Linked DNA regions of Arabidopsis thaliana. The protein of the gene in region 2 interacts with the protein of the main gene of each other region in a pairwise test. Each region holds a gene or a part of one and is shown on either strand. Other genes may lie near its edges.

What was found.
Region 1: the proteins of KNAT6 (region 2) and BLH2 interact in a two-hybrid assay, tested with the Arabidopsis thaliana proteins (one large-scale study listed by BioGRID).
Region 3: the proteins of KNAT6 (region 2) and AT1G35490 interact in a two-hybrid assay, tested with the Arabidopsis thaliana proteins (one large-scale study listed by BioGRID).

Annotation. Positions count from the first base shown.
Region 1 is NC_003075.7:17,365,342-17,371,775, reverse strand, and holds the start of BLH2 (BEL1-like homeodomain 2), read right to left. Parts: upstream 2,862-6,434; 5' UTR 2,604-2,861; intron 2,598-2,603; exon of another isoform or gene 2,421-2,597; 5' UTR 2,354-2,420; coding exon 1,175-2,353; intron 329-1,174; coding exon 1-328. UniProt on the Arabidopsis thaliana protein: Transcription factor that establishes leaf shape by repressing growth in specific subdomains of the leaf. Negatively regulates knox homeobox gene KNAT1/BP expression.
Region 2 is NC_003070.9:8,299,116-8,305,549, forward strand, and holds the start of KNAT6 (homeobox protein knotted-1-like 6), read right to left. Parts: upstream 3,486-6,434; 5' UTR 3,378-3,485; coding exon 3,057-3,377; intron 2,919-3,056; coding exon 2,790-2,918; intron 2,689-2,789; coding exon 2,550-2,688; intron 1-2,549. UniProt on the Arabidopsis thaliana protein: Plays a role in meristem function. Contributes to the shoot apical meristem (SAM) maintenance and organ separation by controlling boundary establishment in embryo in a CUC1, CUC2 and STM-dependent manner.
Region 3 is NC_003070.9:13,057,577-13,064,010, reverse strand, and holds AT1G35490 (bZIP family transcription factor), read right to left. Parts: upstream 2,463-6,434; 5' UTR 2,259-2,462; intron 2,166-2,258; 5' UTR 2,156-2,165; coding exon 1,626-2,155; intron 1,412-1,625; coding exon 1,336-1,411; intron 1,232-1,335; coding exon 1,105-1,231; intron 1,015-1,104; coding exon 845-1,014; 3' UTR 556-844; downstream 1-555.

The DNA.
Region 1 (6,434 bases), on a different chromosome or scaffold from region 2:
GTTGTGGCCGCCAAGCTTCTTGTTCCATCATACCCATTTGATGAAACGCACGGTTCTGACGCAAACTTTGCTCTAGCAAACGCAAACGCGGAGTTTCACCTTTTGTTAACCCGGAAGAAGAGATTCCCGCTGCATCTTTGTCCCCAAGAAGTTCGCAACTCTGCTTAAGCTGAGCCGCAACTGCATCTTTAAGGCATCTAAAATGTCTTGACATAGCTTTTTGAGCCAATGCGGTGTACGGTAATGCCGCACCGTGGCCCATTACTATGTCGAAAGAGTTCACAACCATCTGCATTTGCTCGCAGTAATGGTTGTACCGTCGGTCCACCTGCCAACGAAACAAAACTATACATTATACAATCCATAAATATCAATATTTGCCTTTTTCTTTTAATTAATGTTATTGTTAACTCGTGTGTGTTGTGTTATATGTTCACGTGATTATTATTTAGTGTAGATTTTATCACGGGAACCTATGCTTGTGTACGAGCATCATCTAATAAATAAACTAATGAGATTAATTAGTTACCTTTAAACGAGACAAAATAAGAAAATAAGATATTATATAGACAAATTATTGACCAGAGAATATACTTCAATGTTTGCGCAATCCTACCAACAGCACATTTTATCGTATCCTCGAGCATAAACTAAAATATTTATTTCTAGTGAGAAAAAAGCAAGGTCAACTAAAAAGTAGATAATTCAATTATGGGTAAACAAATAAGTAACGTCAAGGGTTAGCTTTAGGACGTAACTGGAGAGTAGCTTATATGGAGAAGGAAACGCCAATTACATAATTAATCGTAATTATTTAATGCATTTTCTTTGATTAATCGATTCCACCAAACGCTAAGCATCAAAATATTCAATATACTTTCTAATACGACCGTCACACGAGCAAAATGATTAAATTAATTTTAATTTTAAACAAATGATGGTAGGATTGCGCAATCAAACTCTACCAAAATAATCAAAAATAAGTAGTTAATCGAGAAAACAAAAGACCAATTCAGTCATATCAGGTTTCTTGTTTCTTTGTCATAACTCTTGGATCAATTTATGAATCTTATCGAAATGTAACGAAAACAATTTTACGTAAAATGTATGAACTAATATCACTGTAGAGTATAGACAAAGTCAAAATCAATATTAAAAGTTAATATGAACATACCTCTTCAAGCATGGTGAGTAGTTTCACTTTCCTTCTTTGATGCTCAATCCGATCAGACGCCGATAAAGGAGGATGCTCCTTGTTTGCTCCGGCCGACGAAGGAGAGCTGCCACCACCATCACCACCGCAAGTATTAGGGTTTGAGCTGTTCCCAAGTTTGTTCTTCTTCAAAAATCCTCTTCCAACACTACAAAACTCTTCCAACAACTCTTGCGCGGCCGTTGTGTACCTCGAGTTTCTTAAGATATTGACCGCTGCCATGGAAGAGGAAGAAGCAGCCGGAGATGATCGGAATTGGTTTAATACTTGATGGTGATGTTGAGAAGAATTAGCAAGAAGAGTCTTGAATTGATTGTATTGATGATGAGGTGATGCGTTAGAAGAATTGGCTCCGTAGTAAATGTTTCTATACTCTTCCGCTTTTGCTGCAGCCTCTAAAGACGATGAGAGAGATAAGGACAAGCCTTGTCCTCCGTGTCCTCCGCTGTTTTCCACGTGGACGGTCCCAATCTCCGTTTGGCTGTTGTGATGATGATGATGATGATCGGGAGAAGACTGCCACGTCGATATCTGCTGGTGATGCTGATGTGGAAGCTGATGCATAGACATATGATTAGTGTAGTTCTGATGGTGAGTTGTGTTGGTGGATGGACTTGGAAGTAACATGTGAAGAGTTGAAGAATTGTGGTGGCTCCTTGGGGAAGTTGTGGATGACGGAGACGGTGGTTGTTGCGGTGGCGGTGGATTCATCAAGAATAACTGCATGGCGGCTGCGGTGGCGGTGGCTGAATCCGTAGCATTCATAGCCGGAATATTCTGATGTTGCTCCTCAAGCAACTGCCTATTTGACCGGAAAGATTGGCCGAGGTCGAGATCTCTTCCTCCACCGCTGCTTCCGGGGAAATTAAACATTTCGGATAACATACCGGCTGATTCGTAGACCGGAATCCTACCTCCGGCGACTGAAGATTCCTCGTCCATCTCTACCCTTTGATGCTCTTGCTTCTGCTGAGTTGTTAAATTGGGAGAATCTGATCGGTCGAATCCATTAGAGAAGTTGAAGATACCTCCTTGGTGTTGATTATGATGATGATGATGATGATAATCTTGGGACATAGAATTATTGTGAAAAGTCTTCAAGAGAATTGTAGTATTAGGAGAAGTTTTAGTTATTCCCATATCAATACTTCAATCTTTTTCTTCATGATATATGTTAATATCGTTCCAGAGCTCTCTCTCTCGGATCCTGTAATGATTCAGACAAAGAATTTAAAACATATGTAAGTCAGAAACTAGGTCTTACGCTGTTTTTTTGTCCATCTATCTACATCACCTATATAACTGATGATGAACAAAGACATAGAGATATATATATGTAGGTATCTATATATATGTATGTATGCAAAGAGAGAGCATAAGAAGATAATACCTTTGGAGTTTGTTGCAGAGAAGATAATTGAGCTTAGGTATCGTTTTCTCTCTCTCTTTCTCGCTTTCTTTTTCTGGACTCTCCTTTTCTTTCTTACTAAGAGTTTATTCAGAATTCACAAATATTATAAAAGATATATATATCGGAAAGAAAAATATGCGAGAGAGAGGTCACTCTTCTTTCTTCTTCGTCACCCTTTTTAGCCCACCAATCTTCTTTATTAGTTGGTTTCCTATATATATATAAAGCTGCTCGTGCAAAAAAAAAATCGGTGATTTTTTAAACTATGGTTTCTTATGAAAGATTTAGTTGAAAAGGTTAATAGTAGGATTGAAGGATAGAAATTTCTAAGATGCGTCTTTTTTTCACGTAAATGTCTTCTGCCATTAACAATTTGAAGATGTTTATTTTCGTAATTTTTTTTTTTTTTTTTTAAGTGAGTACAAGGTCATATCTCAATGATACGAACCACCACCATAAATTTTAGTAATACTATCGTGACAAAAAAAAAAAACATATATAATATTTAAAATACTGCCATATTTATATTTCCCATAATACCCTCATCTGTCATTCTTCTGATTTCACTGGACTGACTCGCAGATAGGGTCAATTAAGTCCATATTTACGTAACTGGTCATTGTTGGTGCATAGCTCCCCAGTCCTCATCAGCATAATTTAAAGTCTACACATTTATTTTAAATGTAGCATATCTCTATTATCTTAACCTGGAATACCCTAAAAGATCTTCGTAAATAAAAAACTTCATAAAAAAAAAAAAAATCTTCTTAACGTTTGTTAATTTTTTTTTTCTACTACATCAAAATTGAATTTACTTACTTTATGCGAGAATATGACTCTCTAAAACTCCGTACGACTGGTCGTAATCACAACACCACAACAAATTAATCTCATATAATCAATTGATTTTAAGTTCTAACCACAAGTTAATTATCCCTTCCAATCGACTTTTCAGGGAAATGACAAATTAGTTACATATTAATTAGCATTTTCTAATGATAACATAATATATCCCACATACATATATACCAATACAGTGTTAAATAAAATGTAAGCTGTATTTTCTAACAATTAGCATGGCCGAAGTAATAATACTCATGCAAAATAATGCAAAGGCTAGAAAAAGTATATATTCAAACTATTTTTTCCGGCCATCGATCTTGTGATCATAAATTAAATTTTACTACTTGAGGGTCGAGTACGATGTAACTATGAATGGCTTGAAGGATAATGTAATGAAATTCGGTGTGCATTTTTTTTGTTTGGTGTATCAAATAAACAATAAAAGATGAGAGTTCGCACGAGCGGGAGTTGTGGTTTGGAACGTGTGAAAGGTAGGAGGACGGTTCAGAAGTCAAGTGCTCAAAATGTTAATTAGGTTTATGTGGGGGATAATCTAGAAAACCGATGAAATCGACACATAACCGTTTTTTTGGTTCAACAGCTTTGAGTTCGAGTACTTGAGTTTCTTTTTTTGGTATGGCTAGACTATATTTTTAATTCCATGGTTAATATATAGATATCGGAATTTCTTTCTTAAAGCGGTGACATATTTCGTATCACGTCTGTCTTGCTAAAAAAATAGCATTCCCAAATTCGAGTTTTGGTGCATATCCCACAAATGGTTAGAGAAAGTATTAGATATCGCACCGTAGGCATAAGTCCATATTGGGATAAATAATTAATGGAAATGTCGAAAGCACAAGTGTAACTCCACTTATATAATAACATTGAATTTTGTTTATTGTGTGACACCATGTGGGAATCTTTCATGTCAAAATCATATCAGCACGCAAATTCTGTTATTTTTTATTTTTTATTTTTACACAGTTAATTCATGTCGGAGTAGTAATTAAAATAAAATAAAATAAAAACACTCTGTTTTTCCATTTTAATATTCCCTAGAAACGTAAAATTTCATAAAAATACGTTGCAGGTTTTATTTTAAAATTATAGCTACAAAAGTTTTATGTTCCAACTACAAAACCTGGAATGACAATTGACAGCTTAACCTTTCTACCTTCCTACCGATATTTTTTCTCGTTTTCTATTTTTTCCTTTCTGAAATAGAAATGGTTCAATCTCTCTCACGTGAATCCCACCCTCCTTTCACACGTATGCACAACTATCTGTTACGTGCCGAACCTTCCTTTTTCGTACGTGTGGAGAGGATCTTCTTCTTAGGCATTTATACTCTTTACCCACCAAAGCCAACTTGTAATGGATCCTTTTTCCTCTGCTTTATCATATCTTCAATGGTGTCAATTGTCTAACCTTCAACATATTTATTAGTCTCTTCATTTTTATTTCGACACGTTTCCGCTTTTCGACCTCACATGAACATTCAATTTCATAGTATCGAATATTTTGATTGATTTTTTAATTTCTGCGTCTTATAACCAAAGCTATGTAATGTGTTTAACTGTTCATTATCATTGAAATGTGTTCGTAGTTTAATGTAACCGGTGTATTTTGGATAGCTCTTGGATCAGAAAGTGTGATCATGTTGTGAGGTTGAGTCATTTCGACAACACAAAGGAGACTAATTTACTTGCTATGATCAGTAAGAATGTAAATCTTTAGTTGATTTTTTTAAGGTTTTAGATGAATGTATAACCTATAAATTTGGTCCTACGAAAAACAAAAAACATGAAAGCAAAGACAATGAGTCCATAAAACAAAATGTTTGCTACCAAAAATCACAAACTTATAAAGAAATATTTACACAATTAGTTTTTCACGAAAACCAAATGATTATATATATACAAACTCGTGGTGATAAATTATGATTAAATATGAAATGTTATTATATATTGCAATGATCTGTTATATCTGTCGTGATAGGTTTCATATTACCTGACTATAACAACGTTGATTTCCAGATCCTGTTTTCAGACAAAAGGATCATGAACTAAGTTATTGTTGAAAAGGCTTTCATCGGGTTTGGTCTTTTAAGTACGTTGAAGGAAAAATTATGAGTTATCATCCAGATTCGATAAAATTAGAGTTAGGTTTGATTTGATTAAATGTGGTGCAATTGCAATTTGTTAGAAGATTAAAGTCACCACTTTCTCTAAAGGAGATAAAAAAAGGTTTGATTAGCCAAAAGCTATTACAAGGACTCATAATATAGTCTCATAGCCACGTAGGTTTGATTTATTGTCTAGTCAATATACCATATGGTTTCATATCCATCAATCGTCGTCATATGAAATTCTGCAAACCATTATTATGCCTCATGAGTTTGAAAGTTGCCGGAATTACATTCTTTTTTACTGATTTTTTTTTTGGTAATTTCTAATTAGTGGTAATCTCCTTTGTGAGCTTAAGATTCATATGAAAGTTTTGTTCATTCTTAACTCTGTAAGAAGTTTTATTATACATAAAGTTGTAAACAATAAAGTCGATGAGAAAGAAACAAATAAATTTGATTATTTGTCATGAGTAATGGGAGAGTGAGACCACAAAGGGAGTTGTGAAAATGGCAGTGATGGTCCCTTCTTATTCCATTTCTTGTCCTTTTGGTGTTACTCAAATTGTTCCTTTCGTATTTACTTTTTTTTTTCTTTCTCATCTTCTATTTTAGATTCTTATTTCATTGGTTTGATGAGTAATAGTAGTTTTCAACTCTTTTACTCTGTTTCTATTTTTGCTTTTTAACCATTAATTGTTATTTTACAATCTAACAGTGTTTTACTGTTTTTGCTTAATCGTTTGACTTAACAAGCTCACTACTCTTTTTAAGGTTTGCTTTTGAGAACTGTTTTAATGTTTTTAATACAAACATATACACATATGTAACGTATGCGT
Region 2 (6,434 bases):
AGGGAACAACGCAACCAGAGGGCATGGCAAAAGAGTTGAGAAAGATAGAGAAGAAGCATAGTCGCAGTCTTATAGATGATTTGATTGTGGTGTGTAGAGAACCCTATGTCTCCTTTTTTTTTTAATAACCAAATCAAAAATAAAATCTTAGGAGAGAAAGTTGGTGGGGTCATTAGCGGAATCCACGGGAGTCCATGTGACTTTTCCACCTTTTACTTTATAACAAAAACCAAAAGAACCTCTAATTCAAGCTAATCATGCACTATGTTCCTATTCTTCTCGTTGCAGTATTCTTATCTTCTAGATCAAATATGCAAACATGTAACATTGATGATATTGCATGCAACAAGACAAATGTTGACTATAAAAGTCAATAAGAGACCATCCACTCTAAGTAGCAAGATAACCACGCATTAGAAGAAAAGAATGTGTTGCTTTTTTAGCTAGTCCAAAGAAGGGCTTTCGCTAAGTTGCATTACCGTATCACAACAACCAAGAAGTGAGAAATCAAAAGTCTATGTGATCAACTTGTATTACTAAATCAGATCAACATGAAAGAAACCAAGCATGTGATTGAACTGAGAAACTAGTAGATAACATCGCATCCCATGTGAATATTGTCTAACAATTGTAAGCTTCTTTTTTCTTTATTAGTTTATGATTTCATTCAGGTGAAAGAAAAAGATGGTTAAATAAAGCACACAACCAAAGAAAAAAAAAACAGATGAGATCATTCAAAAAGGCAAGTTGTACTTTGAACAAATTTTAAAATTATTAATCATAAACATTCGTCCATTATGGAAAACCTGCATCGATCTATTTTCAACTTTTCCAGTTGATACTCTATGCTAACTCTCGATTAGTTTATAAAGATAAGCTGATATGTTTTTATATATCAGCAGCTTTTTTCCCCCAATAAACAATATTACCAAAGTACAAGTGGAACCTGCATTTGAGATCGACCACGATAATGGAAAACTCCTGCAAAGCTGAAAAAAAGTCTACCAATCTATGGAGTTTCATTTCTTTACAGCTAACTCTTTCAGCTGGAGTTTTTCTTCTATTTTATTGTATTAAAAAAAAAACTCCTAAGGATCAGTATTTCTAGCTAACCTGATCGGTTGATTTGTTATGGCCACAATGTTTTTGCTAGTTGTAGTACAATATGTGGTCTAAAGAGATAATATCAGTAAACCACAAAGAAAGTCACTTATTTGAAGCATTTCATTCATGTATAAGCATAAAACCTAGACTTTTAAATCGCTTCAAAATTGAGTCAGTTTTGGTTTATTACTTACATATAAGTCCAACAAGACTCCAACAAGAACATGCAGATAAGAGTGGCCACTTGGCAATGATACTATTTCCGATGATCAACAAAAATCTCCCTACTCTTGTTCTCAGATCATTGAAACTTGAAATAGACCAAAGTTACGTTCTTCATAATAAATGTCGAATTCAGGATTAAATTTTTATTTCACAAAGAATGTCGTTTTGTAGACTTCTATATTAAATTTAAAATACAATTTTAACTTTATTGTTTTAACCTATTTAATTAGATAGAAAAATTATATGGTGTGTTATTAAGATATAACAGAAATTTAATCGTAAAATTATCTAAACACGCTTATTAATTCCGATCCAGAGAATCTGTGAATGAGCTTAAAGAGGAATTACAGCTAATAACTCTTATGGCTTATTGGTTATTAATAATCATCTGACCAAAAGAAGTTGAAGTCTTAGAAAAACTGGTAACCTAATAAGGTTGTTACCCATAAACAAGAGTGAAGCGACTTATGAGTTATGACTAGTACTTATACTTACTTATTGTTAAACGAGAAGTGAAGCAAAAGAAGCTCATGAAAAATCAACTACACATATTGTTAAAAAGTTATGACTAGGTTTTTCTGTCAATTGGTTTTTCACTAGAAAAAAGCAACAAGTTGAAAAAACATTCAGTACGCAACAAGCCTCTGAAACGTCAAAATCAGAATCTCTACCACAAAAGTTTATTGCTTTCTACACCATTTTCTTTCTGACAGAGAAAGAAGAGAAAAAGATATAAAGTAAAATTTGTATGATTAGCACAAAGATCAACAACAAGAAGAAGAGGAAATCCCCACCACACTCCAACACCCTAATCCCATGGCTAAAACATTAAATGAACGAGTAAAATAATTGCACAACACCTTAAACAGATCTTTGTCTCCAGAGTTTCAACGTGCCCAAAAGAAAAGCACACACAAAACAAAACCCATCAAGGGAAAAATAGCTATGGAAATGAAACTTGTAGCTAGGGTTTATCTTCTTTTTTTTCATTTTTTATCTATTTTGCTTTCTGATCACTTCAAAAGCCTAGGGTTATTCTATCAACAAGCTACCAATCATTTTTCAGAAACTGGTCATATGAATCAAAACCCTATGGAAATATCGAGGAAAGGATATTATTAATGAAAAACCACGGAAAAGATCAAAAGAAATCATTCAGAACTAACCACAAAATAGAACCACTAAAAGACCGAACCAGAGAGGGATAATTTAAGACATACCAGAAACTCCCCTGGCAGACTCGACACCAGTACATAGGTTCCGTAGCTGCATCTCAATCTTGTTCAAGAAACACGTTGCCTCGTCAAACGGTCTTGCTAGATCCGATTTGTATTTCACTAATATATCGCAGTACGTTTCCTGATAATAAATTATCTTCTTAAGTACAAAAATTTCCAAAAAAAAATATTTTAACAAAAATAAAAATCCGAAAAAAAATCGAGGGAAAAAAAGAGAGAGACCATAAATTCATCAAGCTCAGGATCAGCTCCAAAGCAAGAAGAAGGAACAACCTCTTGCTTATAAACATCACTCTCCCGTTGAATCTCCTCTAGTAAACACGCTATCTCCGGTGGTGCTCCGACCTGTTTCTAAATTATGAAATTGTTAAACCATAAAATTATAAAAAAAACAATCAAATATCAAAGCTTCTCAATCTTATCTTTATCTTTAAAAAGTAAAACCTAGATTTTATCTAAGTGATAAAAAAAGAAAGAGTTAACGATCACCTTTTGGCAATCGATGTAAGCTTGAAGTAAGCGAGGATACGAAGGATGACAAGCGATTTTAGCTTTGATGACAGTTAGAGAAACGTTATCATCATTTCTTCGGATCTCCGGAGCGATCGAAGCCGCCTCCGACGACAAAGCGGAGACGGCTACTGAGAGTAGCTCGTCGGATCCGAAAACATCAGAGACACGATTTTCACCGGCGGAGGAACATAGCAAAGCTTGGTAATCGGAAGGAAACATGAGACTCTCCGGTGACATCATCAGAACCGACTTATCTGAATAATCACCGGCCGAATGGAAATTGTACATTCCATCCATAAGTATAAGATCTCCGGTAAGAACTCCTCCGTCTTCTAAATCGCTTTCTTGAATTGTCTTCTTGCAAAATCAAGAATCGATGAAGAAGAATAATATGAAACCGCTTATAACAAACTTTTTGGTTCTTGAAAATATTTATTTCTATGGGAGTGTGTAGAGAGAGAGAGAGGCTCGAGGGATCTTAATTTATTTTCTTTTGGAAGAAAAAAGATATGAAAGTTAACGGAGAAGAAAAATAAAATGATAATTACGAAAAAGGACATATGCTAAAAGGCTCAATGGAGCTTCAGGCTTCATAGGTCGAGATAAGGCCTTCCTAACATATATATCTAAGAAAGGTCCAAGGCTGTGTTATGATAGAATTTGCATGATCATGAGATTTTTAATATCAATGAAACATGGCGAGAAACAAAATTATATATTATTGAAAACGAAATGGAAAAAACGGAAAAAGTGTGATTATTTACCAGCATACTATGTCAGTTTATTTGAACTCTTTTTTTTCTCATCGACAATACACTTAGATGGTAACATAACTACTAGTACATATAACCACTAAACTACACGCAACTTATTTGAAAGCTCTGTGTAATTTTCTTTTCAAAAAGTATAGTTGATGACTTGATGTATATATTATAGGACCTATAGAAACAAATTGAGCATCTAACATAATGATTTGTATCAGTATCGGCATTGTATCGTTATCTTCATTCAAATATGATAATATGCATGTGTGAGCTGTAGACAGTTAAAAAAATAATCCCCAATGTATATATATTTTCGAAAAACTTTGTAGAAAATATATTTTTATTATGATCCTAAGAACATATATAGATACACCTACATAAATCGTTTATTTGATTGCAAATAGTGAAACAAGGTGAAAATGTTAAACAACAAGTGGAAAACCGAACAGAAGAAAGAAAACAAATGAAGTCGCATATCAGAAGATAATATAGTACTAATGATATTGAATCGAGTCAATTAGAAATAGATATTAGTTCAGTATATGAGAGATGTTTTGGGTATGTTGAATCGAATATATCAAACTGGAAAAACAAGAACTGGTTACAAACAACTAGTGAGCTGATACATACATATATATAGTTAAAGAGCGGTATTATTTTAATACTTGTCACTGTAAATTTGTTGCTAGATACAGAACAAAATTATCGAACACGACTACTAACAAAATGATAATCAACACATATATATTCAAATGATGGTATGAAATAAATCAAATGTGAAGAATATATGGATATGATAAGTGATTCTTAGTACCTACTACGTAGTAAGAAATTTTTTACCAACTCGGATGTTGGACACTTCGATTGTACGGGATGAAATGGGTTTCGAGAAGCGAAGGTCCGTTCCTAGATAGTAGATAAGAAGGCCCTAATGGAAAATCGTCTAATTAAGATTAAATTAGTATATAGTATCAGCTAGTGTTTACTTTAGAATAGTTCTGTATAAAGCAAGTTTGTGGATAAAACTAAGAATAAAATAAACGCTGGTCTAGGCGTATAGGAGCTGCAAAATCAATGGTCTTAGCTAATTTATGATTTATGAAATTTATGCCAAAATTGATGATGCTGATATTCATGATGACTTTAGCTTATGAAAATGAACTATGTAATTTATTCACAAAAATAGACATAAGCATAATTTGGTATATTTAATGATTTTACATATGTATTAAGTTTGAAATTATGAAATTGGCCGTAATTTAAAGAGAGTATCAAGAAAAAAACGAGCACTTTAACCAAAAAGAAAATAGAACGAGAGCATCTATAATATTTCGAATGGAACTATTCTTTTAGTTTTGTCGACAGCTTTTTACGTCTATCATATAATTTTCAATCAAGAAAGTGGCATGTTCTTTCATACTACTTTAATATAAACTTTGTTTCTGTTTTTATTTTTTTTCTCAAAGACTAGAGAAAGTCATTTTCATCTTAAAGGTACTTGCAAACTATTGGTTGCTCTAAATCACCTAACGTATCATAAATAATCAAGGGGAAATTAAGTTAAAGAAAGGAGACTTGAAATTAGATAAATATGAAGTCACAAAAGCGAAAACAATATATATATCACAAACGAGTTTGCCTTCTTATTATTGGCAAAGATCAGACGAAAATATGTTATTTATTTATTTAACATATTATTTGTTCACATATGCATATTCTTGGTGAGAAAAAACAATACAAATTTTTTCTGGAGACACAATCAAAATGTTCAATATTTTCTTTCTCTGGTTATCCATGCGATGCGCCACTTGGATGCTGATGTTGAGTATTGAGCTCAGGAAACTACGTGCGATGTTATATTCATTTTCCATCAACATATCTAGGCTTTGTGATTTGATAGATTCTTTTCATTTTTCTGTACCTATCTCCCTACCTATCTATATAATTGCAATAATCTATCACCAAATAATGTAAGACGACATAAATATATGTAACCCAATTATAAAGTTCGTCTACGTATTATACATGCAGCTAAAGTACTGAATTTATAATTCGGCTCGTGGTCCATTCTAATTGTGACCTAGGATCCAACAAATAAATTATTGAGGAAATTTACTAAGCCTCTCAACCATTTTTTAATAACTATGGAATTTTTCCAAACTAATCTCCAACGTTCATAGTGACCAGCCATGATTTTTTAGCCAATATTTATAGATTTGCAACCATATTTAATGAGTTTAGTGCTTCGAAACCTTGTTTCCATAATGTAAATCATCAACGGAAAAACAATAACAAGATTTATAAACCAATATTTTATCAAATATGTTCCTCTATTTTCTCTATTAAAAAAAAGTGTTAAAAGGGTCTTTTCGTTGATGGACAGGTTGATTGACCCATCCATTTTCGGGCCATGTTTGTTCGAAAATTATCTGACACAAAGTTACGGTTTCGTATGAATCCATATAAAAAACAAACACAGCTTTGGTCCCTCCATCCCATTCCCTTGGATCCCGACCGTTGATCCTCACCCAACTTTTATAAAATGTTAGGATTACTAGTTTATACCCATACCATCATCAGCTTGAACCAC
Region 3 (6,434 bases), 4.8 Mb from region 2:
ACAAATTGGTTAATTTTTGTAACTTAGGGTTAGAAACTAAACAAAATAACAAATGATACTGCAAATCAGTTATTGAAAGTCTAAATAATACGCAATACAATCTTTCTTAATCGTTGTCAAATTTGTAAAGTTTGTATATATAGTATCTCAACTTGAAGTTCTCCCGACGATGCTGAAAGACCATTTAAAAATAAATATATATATATATATATATAATGTATGTAGCCATAAAATCTTTTAAAAGATATGGATGAGAATTATATTTCATATCAGTTTTTTTACTTACTATGATTAATATGCATTTTTTGAGATGGAGGGTAAAATTAAAATACAATGGCGGCTTAAAGGATTTTTTTTTTTACTGTTGCATAAACCCAACAAATTACTATGTTTTCGTAAATTCATTTTTTAAATATTAATCTTAATTTTCATATTATCTTGACTGGTGTATAAAATAGTATACAGAATATTTATATATATATATATATATATATATATATTTTTTTTTTCCTTTTATTACTAGAATCGGTCACAACTTGTATATATATAGATAAAGGAAATTGTCAAAAAAATTACTTATTCATATATATAATAGATGAAATAAGAAGGATTACAAGTTATTACATAACATGAAGTTTCTTGACAAGAGATTCTCTACCATGCCATAAATAGAGAGAAATGCAATAGAGGAGGATATGGGCAACCACATTTTGATTTACATAACGATGCTTTTTTAGGTTTTCATTCAAGGCTACAAACATCAAGTTCACCTATGTTGTATGGACATTAAGGTAGAGCAAGAGGAGCTCAGCTTAATCTGAACAATGTATCCATATTTCCTAAATCATATTGCCAAGGCTGCAAATTGGGCATCGGGTTCTTGTGTAACAGGTGGTTGATATTTGTTGTATCGATTTTGTATTGCTTGGACTTGTTTTTGGTTTTGCTGTGGTTGTTGTTGGTGTCGTCGAAACTGTAGGTTTCCTATCTCTCTCTCAAGCAATTGCTGCTCCACTGTATTAACCAACCAAAATCAAAATTTTACAAGAGAACAAAATAAATGCATTTTGATCCATTTTAGTAGTGATATGAAAGGTTAAATACCATGTTTAAGCTTTTGGATTTCTGCTAAACTATCCATACGTTGTTTTAAAGCTCTATTTTCCATGCTAAGCATGAGTAACTGCTGATCCAAGTAGTGAATGGCAGATGACATTTCACATCCTTCAACCTATTGAAGAAAATCCAACATGTATAATATAACATTAGGAATCTTTTCATATTATTAATGAAATTAAAGAACTTCGAGAAATACACGAGCCTTTAGAATCTTACTTGTAGCACTTGGATGGTCCTTTCAAGGTCTGATATGTACTCAAGCCTTCTCAAACGCGCTCGATGAGCATTTTGACTGCATTTTAATAATTTTCGATAAAATTGTATATTATTAAACCGCATCAGAAATATGTTTATCAACCTATATTAGGAATGTGGTCTAACTTATCCCAACAGTTAGCTCAAGAGTTAAGGATTGCCAGATAATGCCTAAAGATCTTAATCTCAATCGATGTGGGACATTTTAATAACCTATTATAAGTACACATGACAAAGATAAGACTACTTACTGTTTGATACGTTTTGAGTCAGTCTTTGATCTAGGACCATCTGGTTTTGTAGAAGTTCCTTCTTTCATTTTGCTTACATGTTTCTCAATGGGTTTCGACGACATATTTAAAGCTCCGCATGACATATTTCTTTGGATATTAGTTCCATTTGCTGTAGAGAAATCCCATCCTAATTTATTGTGTTGTTCATAAGAGTTGGACTGCCACAAATCATAGTTCTGGAACTGCCAAGACGAACCAGCAACATGATTTTCCTTCGAAGGCATTAAAGCTGAGTTCAAGTAAGCAGCTGTGTCACTAGCTGAACGTCTATGACCTTTGTTAATCTTAGGTGATGCTGGCTCACTTAGGAGCTCATCGAGCCAAGCTGGTTGGTCTTCTGTGAAAAGATCATCTAAAGAAGCACTATGGTGGTGCATATTATTAGGAGGAGAAATGTTATTTTCCATGTTTTTTTGGGGAACTCGTGATTGTGATCTTCCAATGAATCCGAAATTTCCCGGGTTTGACAACCTCCTTAAATTTTCCATTCTTCAAAACCTATAAGGTATGAGCAAAACATGTATAAGAAAACCATTATCATGTAATGACAAGAATTGAAGATACAGTTTCTTTAACATGCAAAGAACATACCTAAGAAGACGTACGAGATTAGGAGACGTGTGATTGTTAGACCTTCCACGGGGAGGAAAATGGCATAAGCTCCTCCCGTGTGGTTGGTTTCGATCACCTCTTCTCCTTAGAATGCAAAAAAAAAAAAAAACAAGAAACAATCTCTAGATCACTAAATAGAGGAAGATACCATATTGAAACAATCCATGTTGATGATTTACATTGCGTGGTTTTCGTGAAAACAACAATTCTTGTCCTTATGCTTTATTTGGTCTATTATTTTCTCAGTTATTTTTGCTTTTTCACTTTCCCATAATAGACTCCACCATTGGTTTATTCAGACTGGGTTTATTGGTACACAATACTACAAAAGCTTCGAGGAATTCTTTCATTTTTTATTCATCGAATTTGTATAGTAAGCTCCGTAATATTTTTATGTGATTTATCTACACGCTTCTAATAGATGCAAAATCAAAATATTACTCTCACTATCATATGAGATTGACAATGTAATGACGTGGGACAATTTCTTTCTTTTTTTAGTTAATAATCTTTTCTATTTACATAATTATAAAATTCTAATGTTATTATGAACTTATAAAGTACTAGATATACAATATATATATATATATATATATATATATATATATTTAAGAGAACTATAAAAAAATAAGGAGAAACTTTGTTAAATATTAAGAAATTGATATGTTCAAATGTTTAATAATTTGCACTTTAAACTCTAAAGCTGAAATTTAGTACGAAATGTTATCAGCTTTAATTTGATAAATAATTATAAGTGATAGTTTGCACTTTGTAGATTCTATACCATCTCTATACTATTATTTGAGAAATGTTGTTAGCAAAATAACTAGATGTTACTAGATTTTAATCCGCGGTATACCGCGGGACGATTTATTTTTTAAAAGTAATATATATTAAAACTTGCAAATTTTATTTTATAAAATATTTATATTTTACAATTTATAATTGTTATTAACTAACGCTATACCACGAATCCATGAGACAATTGTTAAAAAACTGAAGTTTTAACCCCTATTAAAACAGCATATTAATAATATTTTAAAATTTTATAAATATTAATTCAAATACATCCGCCATATAACTCAATTCTAAAATAAAACCCGTTCTGTAATTTCTTTACCCGTCCTGTGATTTTTTTTTAAGTAGTAATTTTTAAAATTTAAGAATTATTTTTTATATAAAAGTTTTGCAAATTGTATCATTTTCTAATACATTTATATTTTATAGTTTAATTTTATATATAGTAACATTATACATACCACATAACATTTTTTGTTTTATATAATCTTTTCTAAATTAGGATGATTTGATATGTTTAATATTAGTGGTCTTAGAAAATAATAAATTAAAGATTTAACCCGTATTGAAACGGTGGATTAATTATATTTTATTTTTTTTATTAATGTTGATTCAAAAACCCGTCTCTCTAAATCTGTCTTGCCAAAAAGCCATTTATTTATTAATATTATTTTTATTAATGATATGACTCTGAATTATAATCTAAACATTTTAGTTAATAACATAGGAGTGCACCATATTTATTTAATAGGGGAATGTACCATATGAGCCGAACGCACTTTTATCCAAATCCACCAAAAAAGTCTTGCAAAAATACTATAGAGATAAGAAACGATTGTCGGTTTTGATAGGTATAAGATTAGCAAATATATTTGTTAGCTTAAATTAGTTAAAGAATACAAATTGAAAAGGTATATTACACTTTATTCGAATATAGTATCAAAACTTATATAACACAGAGATTTGTTATTTTTTAATTGTTGAATATTTTTTTTTGTGCTAATTTTTATGTGATTAAGATTTAATTGATTTCGTAAATAAAATATTAAATTGTTTACGAACTTATTTGTTTATAATTTGGTAATAGATAGATATTTGAATATTCAGTATATTTTGCTTCAGTTTAGGAAATCTTTGATGACCCATCTCTAGATCCAATAAGCCCTATAATCTAGATATTAACCTGCAGTATACCGCAAGTAGCCTTATATTTTAGTTAAACTAAAAACTTTTATTGTAAAGATGATTTAAAAATATATGATATTATTTTATTTGATTTTAAATGTATAGTAAACTGTGAGTTGTATATGTTTTGTTGATATTATCTATATTGTTTAGTGTTTAAGATTATACACTTGTAGTTTGATTGTTAATTTAAGAGTTTGACATGTAGTATACCATCTTGTATTAATATCGATCTAAACCCGTTAATTCTAGGATTTTCCAGCTTGTATTAAAAATTGAATCACATCTAATATGTTATTAATTATTGTAGTATATAAGATTATAAATTTTCAATATAATATGTATGAAATTGAATAGAAATAATTCAAATTATGACCAGTTACTCAGTAGAAAGTTTTCTTAAATCTATTTTTCATCCGTTATAATTTTTTTCATGTATTGAACAGTTTATATTCGTTTTTAAAAATTCAAATTATGACATATGCGAAAAAACTCAAATTATTTTTTTATAATGATGATATTATTTTTCGGCAAAAATAGAATCATATAAAGATGAGAAGTGAACTATAATAATTAATAAAAAATTAATATGATAATTTAGATATCAAATCTAATTTGTTGATTTTAATTGGTTACTTTTTTGGAAATTAATAATGCATTTCATTTTTCTAATTAAATTAAATTAATTAAAATTTAGATATCAAATCTTATATGTTGATTTTGATTGGTTATTATTTTTGGAAATTAATAATGTATTCCGTTTTTATGTTAAATTTAATTAATTAAATTAGTATTTGACTTTTTAATCCTTAAAGAGATAAATTAATTTATTCTTTAAAATTTTATTTCTAATGGCATACCTATGTAATTACTTACAAAAATTAAGGTTACATTTAAAATGTACTTTCCAAATAATATAGTAGGATGTGGGATATTACAAAATATGCTATTGGAAAATATTTCAGCTAACATTTTATTATTTTTATTTAAAATGACAAAAATCATATCTTTCATATATTCAAATTCATTATTTAATTTTTCAAAATATTGAAGCAAACGAAATGGGATAAGGCAACGATGCCAACAAACATCAATTACGTTTGTTTAACCATAATTGATATCCATAAATAGTTCTCAATCATTAATACAAAAAATCGTACTAATACCATAAGTAAACATAATATATCATGTCTTCTCTTAATTTTCCAAATTTGCTATTATTAATTTTTATGAGTTGATGAATTTCTCTGGGTATCAACATGTTTCACAGTGACAGTGAATCGTATCAAAGTTAATACATCCTCATTAACATTGAAACAGTGAAACTTTCACTCTTAATTCGTGGCACCACATCCTCATTTAGTTATCTATGCACATTTTAATATTATTTATATTTAAACAATAATTTATGTATATTTTTGGCAGAGATTTAAGTTTTATGTGAAAAAATAAATATTCAGCATCCATATATGATAAATTCAAAAATGCATTGTTGTTATATTAAAGAAACTATATAGTGAAATAAAATTATTATTTATTTTTAAGCTTATTATTTTAAATATTTTACACTATCTTCTAAAACAATATCAATTAAAATATAGAAAAATTCTTTCTAATGCTCTTTTCACACTACCTCTTTTTAATTCTACCCTTTTCTATTTATCATTTTCATTTATACCCTCTTCAAATTATTAATGACCATTTTACCCCTATTTGTAAATTGATTTATGTTAACAAAATGAAATATTAATATTTTTCGTCTAAAATATTCCAAAATAAAATTTCCCGCCAAAATTTTCCCGCCAAAAAATTTATCGCCAAAAATTTTCGAAAAAAAAAATTCCCGCCAAAATATTTTCAAAAACATTTTTCCCGCCAAAAAATTTCCTCCCAAAACTTTTTTTCACAAACATTTTAAAAGGGATTAAAAAGATTTTAAAAGTTTTTTTTTGGCAAGAAATAGATTTACAAGGGATTTTAAAAGGGTTTTAAAAGATTTTAAAAGATTTACAAGAGATTTTAAAAGAGTTTAAAAGATTTACAAGGGATTTAAAAGGGTTTAAAATCCTTGTAAATCCTTTTAAAACTCTTTTAAAACTCTTGTAAATCATGTTTTACTCTTTTATAAGCTTTTAAAATTCTTGTAAATTATACCACTTATTTATCCTTTAA